Oryzias latipes: one gene and its partners. Each later gene encodes a partner of the first gene's protein in a complex. Links are inferred from orthologs where the notes say so. Each region holds a gene or a part of one and is shown on either strand. Other genes may lie near its edges.

Evidence for each region.
Region 2: ttf2 (region 1) and ppp1r8 share a complex: the UniProt entries of both Homo sapiens proteins name them as parts of the spliceosome. The link is inferred for Oryzias latipes from reciprocal best matches to the Homo sapiens genes TTF2 and PPP1R8.
Region 3: ttf2 (region 1) and akap17a share a complex: the UniProt entries of both Homo sapiens proteins name them as parts of the spliceosome. The link is inferred for Oryzias latipes from reciprocal best matches to the Homo sapiens genes TTF2 and AKAP17A.

Annotation. Positions count from the first base shown.
Region 1 is NC_019879.2:11,156,162-11,159,724, reverse strand, and holds part of ttf2 (transcription termination factor 2), read right to left. Parts: intron 2,493-3,563; coding exon 2,416-2,492; intron 2,138-2,415; coding exon 1,995-2,137; intron 1,917-1,994; coding exon 1,737-1,916; intron 1,615-1,736; coding exon 1,556-1,614; intron 1-1,555. UniProt on the Homo sapiens protein: DsDNA-dependent ATPase which acts as a transcription termination factor by coupling ATP hydrolysis with removal of RNA polymerase II from the DNA template. May contribute to mitotic transcription repression. May also be involved in pre-mRNA splicing.
Region 2 is NC_019874.2:22,802,626-22,806,976, forward strand, and holds the start of ppp1r8 (nuclear inhibitor of protein phosphatase 1), read right to left. Parts: upstream 2,823-4,351; 5' UTR 2,776-2,822; coding exon 2,723-2,775; intron 2,278-2,722; coding exon 2,217-2,277; intron 2,105-2,216; exon of another isoform or gene 1,966-2,104; coding exon of another isoform or gene 1,948-1,965; exon of another isoform or gene 1,940-1,947; intron 1,879-1,939; coding exon 1,725-1,878; intron 1,275-1,724; coding exon 1,057-1,274; intron 736-1,056; coding exon 591-735; intron 168-590; coding exon 103-167; intron 1-102. UniProt on the Homo sapiens protein: Inhibitor subunit of the major nuclear protein phosphatase-1 (PP-1). It has RNA-binding activity but does not cleave RNA and may target PP-1 to RNA-associated substrates. May also be involved in pre-mRNA splicing.
Region 3 is NC_019879.2:18,186,225-18,190,278, forward strand, and holds the start of akap17a (A-kinase anchor protein 17A), read left to right. Parts: upstream 1-1,232; 5' UTR 1,233-1,517; intron 1,518-2,099; 5' UTR 2,100-2,180; coding exon 2,181-2,513; intron 2,514-3,327; coding exon 3,328-3,546; intron 3,547-4,054. UniProt on the Homo sapiens protein: Splice factor regulating alternative splice site selection for certain mRNA precursors. Mediates regulation of pre-mRNA splicing in a PKA-dependent manner.

The DNA.
Region 1 (3,563 bases):
TCCCTACCATGACAAAGGTGGATAAAGGTGAAATAGGATTTTATGTAATGCATTGATACCAATGAAGATCACATTCAGATGACCCCACTCCCAATGTTAAAATGCCTTGGATTGCACAAGGGTTACACATTGTTTAAATGTTCACTATGACCCGATGCTCGCAGCATGCCAGTTAGGGCTGCACGATATGAGGAAAACTCGCGATATGCGATATTGGTGATTAATATTGCGATAACGATATAATTCGCGGTATATAAACAAATAGCAAAACAACCAAAAACATAATTTCCGTGTTGACTGCAACAGTTTAAAAATTATACTCCAAATGACCCTTGTCGACGTAGGAGCCAAACATCAAACATCAACAACGTAAACGAGTCCTTCCGATTGGTTAAATGCATAAAGAGATTTATTTCATTTGTTCAATATTTCAAGCTGCCATGAGATTGTTTTAGCACATTTAAGGTAACCATTTATTGCGATTTTCGCCGTCTTTTGCGGTATGCATATTGCACAGCTTGATGTCGCGATAACGATAAATTTGCGGTATATTGTGCAGGCCTAATGCCAGTAGAAAAAGTTTGCACACATATTTTTGCTCTACAGGTTCACAGAGTGGTCTAAAACTTTGATATTTCGTGCGGACCACCTGTGGGCCCTGTACAGACTTTTCACCTGCAGAAAGTCTGTATACACCCGTAAGGGAATTTGTGACTAAAGGCCTGTTCACACCGGGACGAATTTCGCCGGCGATTTTCGCCGACGTTTAACGCCTCGTGACTAAACAAAGGGCACCAATGTGAGTGTGCACACCGAGGCGAAAAAACGCCAAGCGCCAAACCGTCAAAAAAAAAAAAACGCCTCGGGTTCGTTTTTTTTTTTCGACGCGTCGCGTCGAAATCTATTCGACCAATGAGAATGGCGCTTTTGCACACGTGTCTGGAGCTTCTGAAGTTACAGTAAAACACCACTTGGGGGCGCTCAAACACAAACTGCCTTGCTGAGCACACATACCAGCGAAGAAGATAGACGCCGAGTAGCGTCTACACTGCCGCGAAGAAATAATGACGGACATTCTAAAATATCCCCGAACCAAGCACCAGTTGGAGCTACTGGTGCTTGAAATATTCATGTTTTCTTTGTATGATTCTGACAAGCGCGTAAATACTTGCTCTCTTCTTCTGAGTGAAAAGCGACTTTAAGAAGCCTAAAGTTGCGCAGCGCCACCTTGTGTACAGGAGTATTTCTGTTTACATTAAGCGCCATCTAATGTCAGGGAATGAAATTGCATGTTCGCTCGGCTCATCGTCAGCGAAAATCGCCTGGGTGTGAACACAAAAAACGTGGCGAAAAACGCTGGCGAAAAACGCCTGGCGAATATTCGTCCCGGTGTGTACGGGCCTTAAGGCTTTAGCAAGAAGCAAACTCAGAGAGAAGGTTTTGTGTGCCTCTTCTGTTTGACAGAAGACAGGTAAAGGTAACAGGTAAAAATATGACAGACTGAAGAAATAAGATTATTTGAAGAGATAAGTAAAAGATGCATTAGTAGCTTCACCTTTTTTGGTCGTCACTCTTCTCTTTGATTGCCATGAGCTCAGAGGTGATAGCTGAAATCTATAACATTTGGGAAAAAGCAAAGCAAAAGACACTTTGTTAAACAAAATGCAGTTAGTTTAGGAAAAGCTCTCGCTATCAGAATCATGAGCAGAACCCTTCTATTTCTAGTTGGTTGGCACCTTGGTGCTTTTGTTGGTGTCCTCAAACAGCCGTGAGGGGAAGCGACTGCCATTGAGCAGCACTGTGTCTTTGGGGTCAGCATCTGATGGTGAGGGGCTGGAGGACAGCGACAGAGCATTAAGCTGCTCCTCCAGGGACAAAACGATGCCGTCCCCCTGCAGCTCAGAGGAGTCCAGCGTCTGAACAGAGAAAAGGAAACTGGTTTGTCCTCCAGGGCTGTAATCTCCTGTGAGAGGATGCAAAAAAAGAGTGCCGACCTTCTTCAGAAGAGAGAGGTGACAGCAGCACTGACGAAGGCGCAGCAGCAAGGACAGGATGTGGATGCTGCTGGAGGACTGTTGATGCTGCTGAGAGCTTGATGCGGCAGAATCAGACTGAGACAGGCCGAACTCTTGTGCCACTGGAAGACGGCACAAACGGTGTTAGAAAAATGCAACAAGAAATACAATTACAAGGAATTATGTCTGTGAAGACTCTCATTCATCCAGGTTGTTTTCATCGCAGTAGTAGGTATAATAATTGTCATCTGGACTTGGTTTTTAAAGTTGAAAAGTTTTCAACTTTAAAAATGCAATTACTAGGAAATAAAAAAAATTTAAAAAAAATCACATTTCTTTATTGTAAGGCTACCTACACTAAGACACAGGAACACATTTATTTGTCTAAACCTTATCTCACCTTTGTCAAATGGATTGGAGGAGGAGTTTCCCACGTCCTTTCCTTCATGTCTCTTCAGATAATTCTGCAGAGTAGATCTGAGGGAAAAACATCCAGAGTGAGACGACTGTTTTAAATATCTTTGTTTTGTTTATTGTCGATACAGACCAGAGAGTTTCTTAAATGGCATTTCTTATAGAATGTCTTCCATCTTTACAGTTTTAAAGGTGAACAGGTTTTGGGTTCTTGTCCTGATAAGTAAGTCCATTATGGAATCATTTCTTCATCACTGTATATTAAAATATTAAACTTTAGTTGTTAGTTCCTCATTCAAGTTTAAATGGAAAACTCACGAATCCTTTAATAACGCATCTGTCAGGAAAAACTCAAAAATTTTGTTTGGATAACAAATTCATTTTTTAACCTTGTAAAGAAAAAATTGCACTAACTATAGAAAAAGATTTTGAAGACAAAAATTTTTATTTACTTTTTTACATTTAAAAATTACTCAGATTGCCTTAAAAATTGGACTGCACAATGGTGCAGCGGTTAGCACTCTCGCCTCATAGGGAGAAGGTCCTGTCTCAAAACATTCTGGCTTCCTCCCACAGTTCAAGAACTTTCTTCATATGTCAATTGATACATCTGAATTGCCCCTAGGTGTGCATGTGAGTGTGTAGCCCTGCAACAGACTGGTGACCCTTTCAGGATGTACCCCACCCTCACCCAACAGTAGCTGGACCTTAAGCAGCCCAGTGACCCTGAAAGGGATTCAGCGGGTTCTGGCAATTGAAGGTTGAAAATTCATTTAGGTTAAGAAATTACCATAAAATTTGTGAAAAATAAAAAAAACAGGAGAAGCTCATAACTGCAGGATTCACACTCTATTCTAACTAAAATTCCCTGGTTGTAAACTAGGAGCACAGAGATGCTGTGCTTTCATTTCCTTGAGGGATTTCAACATTTTGGGCTGTGTTCAGAGCCTTTCCAAAGATGCCCTTTATAAAATATCCTAAGCAACTTTTGGTTGAAAGAAAACTCTTTGGTTTCAAGGATTTCTCTGTTTCCAGCAGCAAGGTTTAGAACGTCCCTCCACTTTAACCAGTCCTCTGCATGGACTTAGTGCAGTTTAAGTTAAAGCAAAAGCAGCCAAATGTCAAAAGGTTGAG
Region 2 (4,351 bases), on another chromosome or scaffold:
TCTCATGTTGAACGTTAATTAATTTCATTTTGTTGGAAGTAAACCATTCTTGCTCGGTCCAGTTCTCATACAAATAATCACCAAAATCCTTCGACAGTTTACCTTGATGGGGATGACAGCTGTTTGCACCATGTTCCTGAAGCGACCGACCGAGGGGTCAATATCCTCTGAAAAGGAGAAAAAGCCTTTTAGAGATGTTTTCACACATCTACATTCATGAGAATCCTAATAACTGGAGAATAACATGGAATAGACACACTTTGACACAACTGCAAAAGTAATATCAATGTATTTTACAAATATTTTTCAGCCTTTTCATAAACTAAAATTTGGGTGTATATCTTTAGAAAGCAACATTGACAGAATTATTTGACTGTGCTTTAATAAAAAGGGAAATTAACTACACACCCCCCCCAAAAAAAACAAAAAACTATTTACCAGTACATAAACTTATATATATATATATAAAGAACTAGTCCACAGGAAATCTACCAAAAAAATATTCATCCTGTCTCAAGAGGTGAAAACAGCTATGATTAAAAACAAGAAGTTCATAAATGAAGTTTTTTATTTTTTACACTGGTAAGTACCTGGGTTAATGATGGAGTCCTCTTCACTGAAGGTGACTCTGGAGTTTCTGCGTTTCCTTTTAGGTCTTTGGATTTCCAGGTTGCCTTCTTCAATGGTCAATAGCGAGATGCGCTTGTTGTGAGCTGTGTTGAACTCTGTCAGATTCTGACAGGATTCAGAAACCACAAACATTTGTAAGGCGGCTACAACATTTCAACCAACCGGTAGACGGGATTAAAGGATTCATAAGTGGGAAAAAACATAGTAGTATTCTGAAACTAAACCTTGCCACTACTTACTTTTACTTTTACTTTGACCATGCACACATGGTCAAAGTAAAATATGCAGGTCTATTTGTATAAAAGCAAACAAGCAAATCTTAAACTTTAGTAGTTTGACAAATTTAGCCAGAGTTCAAGAATCAACAGGCAAAAAGACTGGAATAAACAGAGATGAAAACAAGATTGATCAGAAAACATAACGTACATCTAACTCTGTTTCTTCTTCTGGAAGACCTAGAAGTCCTTTGAGCTCCTCGTCATCTCCCGTCTTATTGTCTCCTGTGCTAGTGCTGCCTTGGGTTTGGGGTTTCTCTCTGATGATATACGTTCGCGTGGAAGCCCCAAAAGCTAAAGTGGAGTCTATAGGAACCTGCTGAGGCTTGTGGGCCTCGAGGCGGATGTGTCCAAGGAAAGTACCATGTGCTGAAAGGGTAACAATCAAATAAGGTTTCCCAAAAGAATAAAATAAAGAGGTAACGCAACACTGTCATAACAATGAAACAATACTACAACAAAACAAGATGCAATTTTTACCACCACCGTACACTCCAACTCTTTTAGCAATTGGGAAAGATATTTGCTTTAAAGTCAGAAAGTTGATCAAATCTAAATTTTTCAGTGATACGATCCGTGATTTCATCACAACACATGAAATACAAACAAACAAAATGTGTATGGATGTTGAAGCTGTGGTGATCCTTTTAACTCTATTCATATGATTTAATATTCGTAAATGTATCAAACGTGATGGCAGAATGTATTCAATTCCTAAATGATTAAAATGCTTCAGTATTGCATTCTGCTTTGTGTACCGTTTCTTTCTTCCAACAATATAAATCAAATACAAAGGTAGGACTAAAAGCGATCCCTTACTGCTGTTGAGGTCTATAAGGAAGAGTCTTTTTAGGTGTTTGTGGTAGACTAAGGCAGCATGAACACGGGAACATGACTGATGGTCGATGGTGAAGTCACACCAGTCGGGGTTCCTCCCAAAAAGGTAAAACTTCTTCTCATCAATAATCAATTTCTATAGAAAAGAGAGAATGTTTTTTCTGTCAGTCACACATAAAGTATGGCTTCAACAGTACAGGTGTACCTCTGAGTCATAACTCATCAGTGTCGCTTCCACTGATCAGCTTAAACCTCACGGCTGATTTTGCTGTAGCACCGTTGGAAGCCATGCAGCCACAGACCTGTCCTGATGTTCAAACATCAGGGACAGAGCAGACTGTCAGGCTCGTGTATGGGTGCATGTATGGACTTACACGATACATGATTTAACAACAGTAAGGCACAAAAGCAGAATAAGCAGTCATATTACTGCATAACAGGACCAACATCTGCACATTTTCATTCAATTATTACCTCTATCAGTTTGTCTCCCTTCATTACGTCAAGATGAAGCCCCGTGGGGGGTTTGCCTGCCCTGTAAACAGACGATCAACTACTGTCAATATTTAGGGAAAACAAACAAACATGGATCATGCACAAATTAATGTTACAATAAATGAATTCAAATGTCTTTTACATGTTTCTCTCCGCGCTAGCTATTTCAAGAATAAATATTTTAAAGATAAATATTTTCCACATTTATAATAATAATTATTTTTAATTGATCTGGACGTGAATTCTACTCATACAAAGAACACGGCTTTCCCCGTTCGAATAAATAATTTCTAGCCCTTCTGGTTAATTGACGCCAACAACGCTAAGGGTTACCATGCTAACCTAGCTAATGTTAGCAACTGCAACTACAGACTTCTACTTAGCATTAAAAGGCACAAATGAACAGGTCAAATAGCTTTGCAAATGCACATCCAGCAACGCGTTACAAATTTCTAGTTTGTTCTGCAATAAGTAAGTTTTCTCACCATGATGGACAATCAAAAGGCGGAGGACCGTCTTTGCCTGTTTTAGTCGCCATCTTGCTTTAGCATATTGCAACCAAAATGCATGCTGGGTAAACAAAACATTGGGATGTCGGGAGTTGTCGTTCAGAGATAATAATGATAGTAAGAGTAATAATATTAATAATAATTTTACCATATTGCAATATTCGTCAGATTTGTACAGGATACAGGGAATTATTCTTTTTTAGTAAAACTTTTGAAATAGTTTTTTTTTTTTTTTGGCAAATGATCTTCACTTAAAACTTAATTGCACTGTAAGATTTATTAACAAAAAAAGTTCAATTTTGATTTACTTGTGTTAAATCCATTCATAGAAAATGTAATATTTTAATTAAAAATATACAGATTAATTTTAATAATAATGTCATTAATTTTAATTTCACAACAGTCCTGTAATGGGACTCAGAAAAAGTTATAAAAAATATTTGATGACAAAAATGACTTTTTTTGTTAGCTTTTCTCTTTTCTCTTCATGGTTTACACAGCAGAACCCTCGACCACATGCCTCCCCATCTATCCCATAGGAAAGATGTTCTTCTTACTACAGTACTGACCAAAAGTTTGGACACACCTTCTCATTCAAATGAATGGGAAGGTTTGTCCAAACGTTTGGTCTGTACTGTATGTTTAATGTTTCTTTTCAAGATGATGAGTGGTTTGGGAGTAACTTTTAAATACTTAACTAATGAAAAACATTATCATATTATATTTTGAAAAACAAACAAACAAAAACAGTTATAATTCAAGTAATTTTTTATTTGATTTGCATGTTTCTTTGTAAAGCTGCCTAATAAACATGAAGAATTCAATTACAAAAGACCACTAGAGGTCTCTAAACTCTTAATTTGAAAATGGAAACATTTTCTTGGAAATAAATGATTGGTCAACATGTGTGGGATTCTGTGTTGGGGGGCTTGAAGTTGTGTCTGTATCTATTTCTGCTTGTGAGTGGGTGAACTCCTTCTGGTTTTTGCTTTTTTGGTCAGGCCTGAGGTGGGTGGAAGGGGGGGGGGGGTTACCTCAAATTAACTGACTCTCTTGGATCCATTTAGAGTTCTATGTTTTAAATAAAAAAATATGTTCAGCGTTGACCTCTGTTAGTCAGCTGGAGATGGTAAAAGTTTTGTTTACAGATGGCATAAAGTGTAAAGCTGAAGCAGAAGTGAACTTTCAGAAAGGATGATAGACATTTTCAGAAAAGCGCTGTGAGCTGGATCCATAAAGAGGGGGTGCAGACACAACTTTTAACTGCATTTGATTCAGACATGTAAGGCTTCAACCAAAAATGAAATGTTTTCCGTCTATAATTTGCAAAAGGGGTAAAGATCACATGTTTAGTTAATGTGTCACACATCCAAATCCAGTTTTCCTTACCCAAGTACATTTGCATACAGTAAAATAAAATAAAACGAGTTCTAAGGTTTAGGCATTGCAGTAGAGTTAGTCCTTCTAGAACATTTTTAATTCAGAAAGAATGCATTTTATGTTTTGTTCCATTGATAGAGGAGAAATTGTTCTTCTCAGATTCTGTCTCTCACACATTCATGTGCATATATGACATCTGTAAAAACTCTTATTCACTTTGTGGTG
Region 3 (4,054 bases), about 7.0 Mb from region 1:
AACCGGTGATAAAGGGCAGACCTGCTGGACTCCAACGTGCACCGGGAACAGGTTTGACTTACTGCCGGCTATGCGAACCAAGCTCTTGCTCCGGTCATGCAGAGACCAGACAGCCCTCAGTAAGGCTCCCCGGACCCCATACTCCCATAGTTCCCTCCACAGGATACGGGGGACGGACGTGGTCGAACGCCTTCTCCAAATCCACAAAACACATCTGGACTGAATGAGCGAACTCCCGCATTCCCTCCAGCACCCTAGAGAGGGTGTAGAGCTGTTATACTGTTCCACGACCAGGACGGAAACCTAACTGTTGTTCCTGGATCTGAGGTTCCACTATCGGACCGACTGTCTTCTCCAGTACTGTGGCCTATTGACTTTCCTAGAGAGCCGGGGGTGTGTGATTCCCTGGTAGTTTGAACAAAACTAGATCAAAAACAGATCCTCAAAAATGTTATCAATGTACTGGGAAAAGTACGAGATTGAACTCCGGTATTCACAAACTTTGGCGTCATCTTGATAGGCAGGGCGCCCTGGTAGTACAGGTGTAAACCTCTTATGATGGACGTTTAAAAAACACAAAAAAATCAAGTTATTTAAAAAAAACAGTTATTTCTTCCTGAATCTCATCCTTTTTATCATCTCAAAGCTCCAAATCTGAATCTCTCTCAACTATCTGGTATAAAATCCTCTCTGCTTCACTTTTTTCTCCAAACATTATGTGCAGCAATTAAATACATTAAAATGGTCCCGGTGTCCTCTACAGTGGACATTCATTAAATGCCTGCTGTTTTAAAACCGAAAACATGAAACTTTTTTCAGATCTAAAAATATTGTTCCTAACATGTTTATGACCAAGAATATATATAATTATCATGGTAAAAAAAGGAATAGATACATAATTTTTGACTTGCCTTTCACCTTTCCATAAAATTAGGTAAATGGCATGGAAGCCATCTTTGTAGAGGTAAAACTTAAAGTTCCCAGCATGCAAACTCATCACATGACACATCAATGGAAAGCCCAGGATGTCCTCTACAGATTAAAGTAGGATTCGGAAAGGCATCTCTTAATTCCTTAGAAATATACAGATAAACAAAATGACCATTATAGAGGACATAAGTGAATGGGCCGGGTCTCAGGAGGATATTATTTTTTTTAATATATAGTATAGCTTTTACCACAGTGTGTCGCTGTTTCTTCCCACCGCCACTAATAGCAGTTTCTCGTAGTTTCCTTGTCAGGTCAAAGTTCACTGGATGCGGAATCGGCGTACCACGGCTTTTTTCAATGAAATAGTTGTATGATATATATAGTTTGACTCTGCAGCGCCTGGCTCTCAGGCTCAGGAACTCTTTATACACCCAGACTTAAATGTTTGGCGAGTTGTTGTTAAAAATAACTAACGTTAGCCAACTCTTATGTAATAGCAGACAGCTGCTACACTGGAGAAAAAAGGCATCTGTGGTGCTGGAGCTATCTAAGCTAACTACACGGTTCCCCGCCACGCAAACCATAGAGTAAGTGATTATGACTGATGACTTTGTGCGAAAAGAATGACTTGGTGTGTTTGTGACGCTGTTTATCACGTTTCCCCTCATTATTATTGATTTACGATCCTAAATGTATTTCTGTTCGTTGCGTAGCATGATGGGTAGCTCAAGTTAGCGGTAACTTAGCTGATGTTTTGGTTTGGTATTCATTTATTTAAAGTACTTGTAAGTAATTATTTGCTAGTAAATTAAATATGTTCCCCCTGTATAGTATTATTCGTGTATAAATATGCTACTGATTTGATTCGAGTATTAAGAAAAAACATTGAATAGAATTGTAACAGCTAGAGGTTAAGCTGAATAGCATCAATTAATTTGTTTATTTACAGACTTGAGGTCTACATATAAACACCACAACCATATATAACAGACAGTCATATAGAATAAAATCACTAGTCAAAAAAAGTGAATATAACAACAATAATAGTGATTAAAAAAAAGAAATGTGTAGCATTGGGGACTGGCATACACAAGTCCTGTCTAAATCTGTCAGTTTTGTGGAATTCTCTTTATTTCTTTGTGATATTTTTGTTCTTGTTTTGGCTACAGGGTCTGCGTAGATGTGTGAACTAGCTTAGCTGGAAAATCTCTGATTTTTCTGGTCCTTGGGGCATCCTCACTCGTCTCTGAATGACAATGACCACCATCGTCCACGACACCACAGAGGCAGTCTGCTTGTCCGCCGAGTACAATTTGTACCTCAAGCCGATAGCTAAAATGACCGTCAGCGTGGCCCTACCCCAGCTCAAGCTGCCAGGCAAGAGCATCTCCAACTGGGAAGTGATGGAGAGGGTGAAGGCGATGGTCGCTCCTGAGCAGTTCTCCGCCCTCAGAATCTCCAAGAGCACCATGGACTTCATCCGCTTTGAGGGCGAGGTGGAGAACAAGACTGTGGTCAAAGGCCTGCTAAGCCGTCTTGATGGAAAGACCATTAAACTTAGTGGATTCACCGATGTGCTCAAGGTAAGGCTGACAGTTTGAATCACCAATTGCTTAATTATTGCGTTTAAACTAAAGACGCACTCTGATGAAAACCGTGTTTTGGGTGTTTTTAATTATGAATTTGTAGCATTTTTCTGATGGTGGAGACATCTACGAAAAATATCAAGCTTAAATTAGTATTTCTGAGTATTTCTTTAGTGAAATCATGTGAATCAGGAGCAGACAAAAAATTACTTGTAGGTGGGATTTAGAAACTACGATGGCAAGCCACAAACCCCCCTTGCTCCGCTCCACTCTGATGCATCCACTTGCAGACAAATAGATCCATGTACGTCTTTGTTTTCCTCATCTGAGCTGACATCTAGCTCAGAACTGTACAGCTGGATAGCTCCGATATTGGGCGCAATTCTTGGTGCACCAGTAATGTCATGTCGGGGTTGTGAGGGGACTGAAAGCTAGCGGGAAAGAACGTAAACAGATGGATGATGGGAAGGGGACAGGCTTACTCTGTGCCAACAGTTCCGCCCACAACTCGAAGGCAAATTTTTAATGAACTCCAGCCGCTCTGTAGCAACTCTGTCCTAGAAGAATACGCAACGATTACATTGATTCATTTTTTTCATTCATCTTCTATCGTTTATTCCCTTTCAGGGTCACGGGGCTGCCGGAGCCTATCCCGGCCACTTTACAATAGATCAAAAAATGATTGGAGTGGGACTTTAAAGACTTTTATACATTATAATTTGTTCCATTAGACTAATACTTCAACTATATCTCTACCACAAAATGGATGGACTGTATGTGATGCATTCGTTGGTCTGTCTTCGTCCCTCAGGTTCGGGCAGTAGAAAATAAGGTGGAATTCCCCACCCGCCATGACTGGGACTCCTTTTTCCGTGATGCTAAGGACATGAATGAGACCCTGCCTGGAGAGAGGCCGGACACCATCCACCTGGAAGGCCTTCCCTGTCGCTGGTTCAGTCAGAAAGACAGTCAGTTCCCAGATCGGCCCTCAGAAGAAGTCCTCATTGCTGTTTTCCAGACATTTGGGAAGGTAATTGTCGATTAAAGACATACATTCTTCTCAGTTGGTAGTTCTGTATGTGACTATTTTTACATTTCTATACGTTTAACCAGGCTGTTCAGTACAAATCATGTTTTCTCAGCAAAAAGCTAAATTAAATAGAAAAATACAGATTGTTTATAGTTGCAAAGGTTTGCTGATCAGCTTTCCCTCTATTAACATGTTAGAGCATTTATAGAACCTCATACTGTTAATGTTTTTCATTTTTTGCTCTTCTTTGGAACAGTTTGTCTGAATCTATTTTTTTTTTTTGTGTAGGAAGAAGTCTGTATTTCTGCTTTTTTTTTACATCCAATTAGAGAACCCAGGTGAAAGTGTCTGAGTTCAAAGATCAGAAAGACCCCCTAAGCGTCAGAGTTCTTTATTAATAAACCAATAATAAAATCCAAACACCAAGTAGAAGAAGAGATGAAATAATGGCAACATATTTTGTGTTGTCTTTGTCAATTCTGGACTTTTAATTTGTTATGACAAACAA